Linked DNA regions of Ovis aries. The protein of the gene in region 2 purifies or fractionates together with the protein of the main gene of each other region. This does not show direct contact. Links are inferred from orthologs where the notes say so. Each region holds a gene or a part of one and is shown on either strand. Other genes may lie near its edges.

Region 1 (3,914 bases), on a different chromosome or scaffold from region 2:
GAAGTCCCCTACACATGAATGAGTTCCCTTCCAAGAGCGTGTTAGTAAGTCCAACAAAGTTAGCCTAAGCATCCAACTAACACAATCGGCTATATAGTACTGTACTGTAATAGGTTTCTAAATACTTTTCACACTAATATATAAAAAACAAACACAAAAAAAATAAAGAAAACACTTTTAATCTATGGTACAGTACCTTGGAAAGTACAGTAGTACCAGCTACATCACCACTGCTTTAGCTCACTTCGGGATATCTTGGCCTTCAAATAAAGATACTATACTACTGTACTCTATATACTACTGTAAAGAACACAAAAGCAAAACCACTTGTAAAGGACGCACACATGTGACAATGTGAACTATCTTAGGTAACTGGACAGGGGAAGGCACTTCCCACCTTTGAAAGTTTGCAACTTTCAACTTTGAAATTTCCTATGTAGGAGACTTCCTGTAAAATTACCCTGGCCATGGGGAAACTTCAAGACCTTCCTACCAACTAAAACTCACCAACTTTTCTCAACAAACGAGCCATGGGAAGGGTGAGCTGAAGTGAATGGACTCGCTCACAGCACCGGTGCAGACGCAAGCATTTCCCAAGTTCAGTCCTGCAGGCAGTCACAGCACCTGGAGGGAAGTCTGCGCCAGAGCCGGAAGAGCGGGGAATACAGCTAACAGCCGGGCGGGTGGACAGCGAGGAGAGCCTGGGACAAACGCTCTCTGATAGGGACCCATCAAACCAGGGTTCAGACAGTCCGGCTCGCCATAAAATTACCCAGTCGACAATCTTGGGACAGGTTGACCACACGCCTTCAGTTCCGAGCGCCCCTGGCAACCACTAGCGATTTAAAACGGAAGAACGACCTTTGTCCCGCCCACCCTGGGCCACCGGAGGCCCGGCGGGTTAGCTCGTTGGCCCAATCACCTCGGCGGGAACTCCGATCAACCAATAAGAGACAGGTACGGGAGGGCGGGCTGAAGGGTGGCGAGCGCACGCGCAGCTGGGAGAGTGGCCCTGGCAGTGTGGCGGTGTGGGTGAGTTGGTTGCAGGTGGACTCGTGTTGGCTCTAAGAATCCCGGAGTAGCCACTGCCGCTTTCTCCTGCCCTTACCATGTTTCTCACCCGGTCTGAGTACGACAGGTCTGTATGGCTGGGGGGGAGGGGAGAGGGGGTCAGGTAACGGGTGGGCGGACGCGGGGCCCGGTCTGGGCCTGGGTTCTGCCGTGTCATCGGGGCACCCCCACGAACCCGAATTCTGGCCCAGCCAGGGGGTTTCCTCCCTTCCCCAGGCGTCCGCTGTGTTCTCCAAGGCTAGATTTGCGCCCATCGGCCTCAGTTGTCCTACCGCTGAGTCACTGCTGGGTCCCAAGTCGGTGCGGAAGCGTGAAGCTCCGCTTTGTGCTTCGGAAAAGAAGGCTGATGGGGCCGGAACTCTGACCTTTAACCCGGGGAAGGCCAGGAGTCACCCTCTCTCCCCTTCTTTTTGTGCTGAGTGTGACTGCCTTTTAAAAGATGTAAACGCGCTACCTGGAAGAAAAAGCAATTAGGGATCACTTAATGGGTTTGATGATTTCAGCTCCCTTTTCTTTCTAGGAGGACAGCCTCGTTTTCCGTTTCTTAGTTGTGGGAATAAAGGTGCTATTCCTTTGATTGAGTTGTAGTAGGGCGTCCTGGGATGTTTAGTTTCTGCAGAGGAGCGAAGGAAGTCTCAGCTTTGCCAAGACACAGTGTCTGGAGTCAGATTTTGTGGGAACTGAAATTTAGAGTGATTCTCAAGAGTTTTGTCATCATGCTGATTCAAATAGCCTTTTTGAATTTTTAAAAAGTTTAAGGGAAGTTGCTCTAAGTGTGTCGAAAACCAAACCTGTTTTTGAAATCAAAGCTGTGAGATTGTTGTATCTTTAAAAAACTTTCAGAGCTTGGGAATGTTAATATTAAGTTGTTCTACTTATGCTGTAGACATTTTTACTTTCAGTTTCTGTTTTGATCAGGTATGATTCACATAGCTAGCTATTAAGTTGCTTAAAAATTTTTGAGGCCAGGAAAGGCAGATGTTTTCTCTTTATTAGATGGCTTTGAGAAGCTGCATTTCTTCTCAAGTATATGTTGATCTTGTTGAAAGTCTTATCACCTAGAACTGCTACTTCTAAAAAAAATTTTTACTGACTCATAAGATGTATGTGAGGCTTTAAAACTGACTTTTTTTCTACTGTCCTATAAAATGACTTTGTTGGTCGGTATTTTCTAAAACATTGAAGAGAATCGTCTTTGTGTGATACAGTTTTGAGTAAGGGTGTGTATGATGGAAATTGTCCTTATCAGAAAACCTTTATTAAGGTTTTTGTGATCATTTACTTAACAGCTTTATTAACTGCTTCGTGTTACTCATTTTTGTATCTTCCTGCGTTTGTGTTGAGTCGCTTTACTCGTGTCTGACTCTCTGCGACCGCATGGACTGTAGCCCACCAGGCTCTTCTATCCAGGGGATTCTCCAGACAAGGATACTGGAGTGGGTTGCCATTTCCTCCTTCATTGTATCTTCATAAGAATGCCTAAAATATAGTCTGCTTGGCTAATATACTTAAATGCTTGCTGTGTACAAGGCACTGTTTTAGTTGCTGATCATATAGCAGTGAAAAAAATCAAGATCCTTGTTCTCATATGGGAGACTGTCCTTTAAAAACTACTTAACAGGAAAATTCTCTGGTGGTCCAGTGGTTAGAATTCTGGGCTTTCACTGCTGAGGGTGCAGGTTGGATCCCTGGTTAGGGAACAGATCCTATAAGCTATGAGGTATGGCCAAAAAAAAAAAACCCCGCTGTTTACAAAAGTAACTACAGTATAAGTCAGAAATGTGTTCATGTCATTAGAGAAGCTGAAATCAACACTATGGGAGTTTTAATGACAGAGGTTGCATTTGATATTATAAGGGGATTATGGAAAACTTTAGAAGGAGTTGATATTTAAACTGAGTTCAGGAGTAAGAATTTAATAAATATGCACAGTAAGAGTCAATAGTTTTGAGGCAGAGAATATAAGATGAACAGAGGAGGGGCCGTGAGAAAACACAGTTCATGTTTGAGAAAATTCTAGGCTTCTGGCACATACAATGCGCATATGGGAATAGGGAGTTCAGAGAAAAACACTGGTGCTAGGTATTGGGTGGCTTTTAATTTGAAGTTGAAGGGTTTGGGTCTTATTTTGTGCCATTAATTGTCATTTTAAGTTACACAGTCATAATTGTATTTATAGGAACTAATTGACTGAATTAGAGGAAAGAGTCAATACCGGTTAGATGGCTGTTATAGTTAGGTGAAAGGTAATGAGGGCATTGAGAATGGAAGGGAGAATTGAGTTACTGTGGGGGAGGAACTGATTTAAATTAATATGACTTGGCATATGGTTAATATGGGAAAGGGCTTCCCAGGTGGCTCAGCGGTAAAGAATCTGCCTGCCCATGCAGGAGCTGGAGGTTCATCCTTTGGTCGGGAAGATCCCCTGGAGGAGGAAATGGCAACCCACTCCAGTATTCTTGCCTGGAAAATCCCACAGACAGAGAGGAGCCTGCTGGACTCCAGTCGGTGGGGTTGCAGAGTCCAGCACGACTGAAGAGACTGGGCACTTGTGCACTAATACGGGAGAAGGGAAGCACTGAGTCAGGTCATTCAGAACTTTCTCGCTTGGGAAACTGGGAGCAGGGAGGTGTTTCAAAGTAAACAATGAAGTAGGAATGGCAGCAGGTGGAGCCGATTTCGAAAGGATGACTGGATTTAAGATTTATCAGATTGGAAAGTGTTAAGTGTTTGGTATTAATGGGATATCCATGTGGAAACACTCAGAAGACATTCAGCTTAACGAGGAAAGAGGTCAAACTGGCAATAGAGATTTGGAAGTAGTTAGTGCTTAGTATAGATGA
Region 2 (3,914 bases):
TTGATCTTTGGGAAAATACAATCTCTATCACAATTACTTGACCCCTCTGTTGTAACCGGCAAGGGATATGGACAATACTTCAAAAAAAAAAAAATGAACATGGCTGTGTTCCAATAAAACTTTAATTGCCAGTTCTTTTCTTTGTCCTATTAAGTCACAATAGTTTGAAAAATATTGATTTAAATAACAGTTATCAAGTCAAACCTTCCTGAGATGACTAACAACCAAAAGAAACAAAGCTAGAGTTTAAAAGATACCCAGTTCCTGAAGTGACAACATGACTTCAGCAACATATCAGAAAACACATATATAAATATATCCAGAGAACAAAAGTAAATTCATAATAAATTATACACATGCTCTGAAAAAAACTGCACTTCAGTAGTCTAGTTGTAAATTGTTTAAATTATATTTGAACCCACAGAAATGAAAACTCCATAAAGAACTTCCATAGAGCCCCAGTCAATTTCATTTTGGTAAGTTGCTTTCCATTTCCAACCCTAGCTACTTATTTCTGCTAAAGATATATGGTATTCATTCTAGACAAGTTTAAAGAATCACCACTTTTAAAACAGGAATTTAAAAGTTAGGTACTTGGAAAATTATTTCCAAGTTAGAGGACATGAAAACTGGGAAGCTGTTTGATACCTGCACAACACTGCAGCTCCCATTATGACACCATTACCAAAACCATACAAGAGCAAGCCCAAAACTGGCCGTGTTAACATAAGGCTAAATTACATGTAAAATGTCATTCCAAGACCACAGTTAAAAAGGTAAATTTTAGCAACTCAAAAGTTAATCAATTTTAACTGCTGTTCTCTAATTGAAATAGCTAGGGAAAAAAAACTTTTCAGAGACTCAATAAATATCAGTTAGTGTGTGACTTTAGAATTCAGGATATGATCAAAGTTACAGCAGATGCCAAAAACACCTTGAAAAACAGAAAACATACCAATATGTTGGAAAAATGTGAATTTGAATCAGCCGGCTTAAACAATTTCAATAATTCCAGTCATTTTACTATTATAATAGTAATGGTCCACTTAACCGAAATATAAAATGTGGAGTCACCTGCATTAGTGAATGCTTTAAATACATCAACGAAATGACAGATCTGCAAAGAATCACAATTCTTTCTGAATTAATTCCCTTTGAAGTGAGGACAAATATAGCCCCTAGCTGACTTACTTTATATGCTCAAGACTATTTTAGCACTTCAATATACTTTAACTCCCAAACCTAACACTGTATTAATTCACCCCCCTCAAATGAAATTTATTGCTGGTTAGCTAGAGCTATTTTTAAGTGGCCTTATTAAGTACAGATTCCACAGTATCATTTCAATTTTCAGTGATAGTCTTTCACTAAAAAGACAAACTCTGAAAATAGTATTAATCCCAGGAACTCATTCTTGACACTGTTCCAACAGCAAAAGATGGTAGCCTAGGCATCTGAGAATCTCCCTATGTATTTGGAAAAAGATATTTTAAAAGTATGACCTGAAAAATTACAAAACTTATGTCAATTCCAAATCAAGTTACCAGTAGAGTTAAATACTGCCCACAGATTTTCTTTTTAAAGCTGACGATAAAAAAGTAAATCAAGCTACGAAAAGGCTTTGTCTACAGATCTTATTATCACCAAACGGTCACACATGAAACCTTTGCATGCTACACACACAAGGGAAGCATTTACACTACTAGTCCACATAAGCCTATCTTAAGACTATGCCAGGGGCACACAAGGATTTTCAAAGTATAGGAAAAAACGGACACAAACGCAGTACAAAGCAGTCAAGAGGTAGCTGCCCAGTCACTTTCAGGAAATGTTTCAAGATGAACAGCAAAAATATTCTGAAGTCCCTTGGAATCTTGGGTTGATTTATTATTTTCAAGGCCTAGCCCTTTCCTTCCAAAGTACTTTCATGGGCAAAAATAAAGCACTTTTAACTAAAGCAACTACTCAGCCCCGAAGTTCAATACAACTTGCTTTTCATTAAAAGTTCAAGTTTCTCAAGGTCTAGACATATATAGTGTGATCGTATTACAGTATTCGGGAAGAGCATTTTCTTTGTTGTTGACCCTGCTAGGGAAACAGGTCTTGACTCAGCCAAAGTGGCGTTCTTGTGGGTGATTAATGACAGGCCTAGATCTCGCCCCAGTGACATCCCTCCCCCACCCCACGCCCTCCGTACTAAAATCAGCCCTGTCTGAACTGGAAGAGGGGCGGCCGCCTAGCCTCAAACCACCCAGTTCCAGAGTTAATAGGTGCAACCCATCGATTCTGGGAGACAGCCATCGAGATTCGGGTGAAATGTGTGACCCTTCGTTTGCCTCGATTTCCGTGTAGCACTCTCTCTGATCATTTCCGCTGGGGCTCTCCAGACTACGGAAACGCTCGATTCCAGTCATTCGGCCCAAAGAAAAAGACCTTCCTCTACCCTACAATACCCGGCAAGGCACCATCCCTACCCACCCCACCCCCGACCCCTCCCCCGATATCAGGCTATTCCTATTGTGTCTCCGACACTGAAAGAGCTCCTTAAGAAAAATGTGGCCGCCGAGGACTCTGCTAAGACCGGAGAGCCGTCCTGCACCCCTAGTCCCGCGGCCTCATCCCTCGCCCTCCACCCCCGGGCGGCCGCAAGACCGAGTCCCACCTGTGGTGAGACGGGAGGAGACGTCGCCGAAGGGAGATGGCTCCATTCGGAGATACTTCTGCGGCGAGGCGGCGGCGGCCGAGAAGGAAGCGGCGGTGGCCGCGGCGGCCGACGACGGGGTGGCGGCGGCAGAGGTGGGCGCCGACAATGGCGCACATCGCCTCCGCTTCGGGGACGCCGGGCTCAGCAGCGGGTCGAAATCCAGAGTCCGTTTCAGAGTGGCTCCGCACGCCATGGCCGGGGCGCCGGGCTCGGGTGGAGTCAGGAAGGGAGGGCGAAGGAAGCGGGTAAAAGCGGAGCCCCGAAGAGAGCCTAACCGACGGGCTCAAGAGTGGAAAGCCGGGTGGCGGAGCGCCGGCGAGGGGAGCAGAGCCGCTGCCGCCGCCTCCGCGGCAGGGGCAGTGGCCCGGGCCGGCTGGGGCGAGAGCAGGAGGGGCGGTGGCGGCGGCTCACGCTGGCCGCGTCAGGGGGGCTCTTCCGCCTCCTCAGGCACGGCTCCCCCGGGAGACGCTCCGGCCGCCCCCGCCGTCCGTTCGGGCTTTGCGCCGCGCCTGAGGCGCTCCTGCGCGGAGACCGGCTCCTTCAGAAGTCAATACCAGCCCCGTGAGATGTGAGGCTAGAACGCGGCTCCTAAGACGCTCGAACAGCGGCCGAAGTTAGAGAGCGGTGGTCGATGCGGCGAGATTGAGAGGCTGCGGCAGCGGCAGGAGCTCCAGCAAACACATCCAGCCGCTTCCCCCTCCACTGTCTGACTTCCACCCGCCGCCGGCCCCAATATGGCGTCAATAACAACGCCGCCGATTCAAATCCTGCGGCCTCAGGGCGCGTGCGCATAGCGGGGGGCGGGAGCCCGAGCATACATTCTGGGAGTTGTAGTTTATCACTGGAGGAAGGACTCTGCGTGAAAAGCGGTTAAGGAGAAGTCATGAAAACTACGAGTCCCGTCATTCAAGGCCAGCGATTCCGAGTTCCGGATTGGAATTTAAATCCCCCTACACATCTTGAGTGTAAAAGGAACTGAGGGTAAGAGAAAAGAGAAAAACCCGTTAGAGAGTGGGAGAAAAGAAAGCCGACCGGTGGGGAAAGCAGGTTTTGAAAAACCTTTAATATTCAGGTAGTAGTTGTCGTGGTACGCTCCCACAGTGATTTACCAACCGGGAACTTGAAAACGAAGCTAACCTAACAGTTCAAGACTGATTAAAACAGTGCCAGAAACAAAACCTGTCACATCGACTGGCTAGGAAATACTAAG

Evidence for each region.
Region 1: the proteins of AKIRIN2 (region 2) and PSMA5 purify together in Homo sapiens (affinity purification with mass spectrometry; 3 studies listed by BioGRID and IntAct, with this or other methods). This does not show direct contact. The link is inferred for Ovis aries from reciprocal best matches to the Homo sapiens genes AKIRIN2 and PSMA5.

The regions. Positions count from the first base shown.
Region 1 is NC_056054.1:86,670,890-86,674,803, reverse strand, and holds the start of PSMA5 (proteasome subunit alpha type-5), read left to right. Parts: upstream 1-996; 5' UTR 997-1,109; coding exon 1,110-1,138; intron 1,139-3,914. UniProt on the Homo sapiens protein: Component of the 20S core proteasome complex involved in the proteolytic degradation of most intracellular proteins. This complex plays numerous essential roles within the cell by associating with different regulatory particles.
Region 2 is NC_056061.1:49,618,614-49,622,527, reverse strand, and holds the start of AKIRIN2 (akirin-2), read right to left. Parts: upstream 2,898-3,914; coding exon 2,663-2,897; intron 1-2,662. UniProt on the Homo sapiens protein: Molecular adapter that acts as a bridge between a variety of multiprotein complexes, and which is involved in embryonic development, immunity, myogenesis and brain development.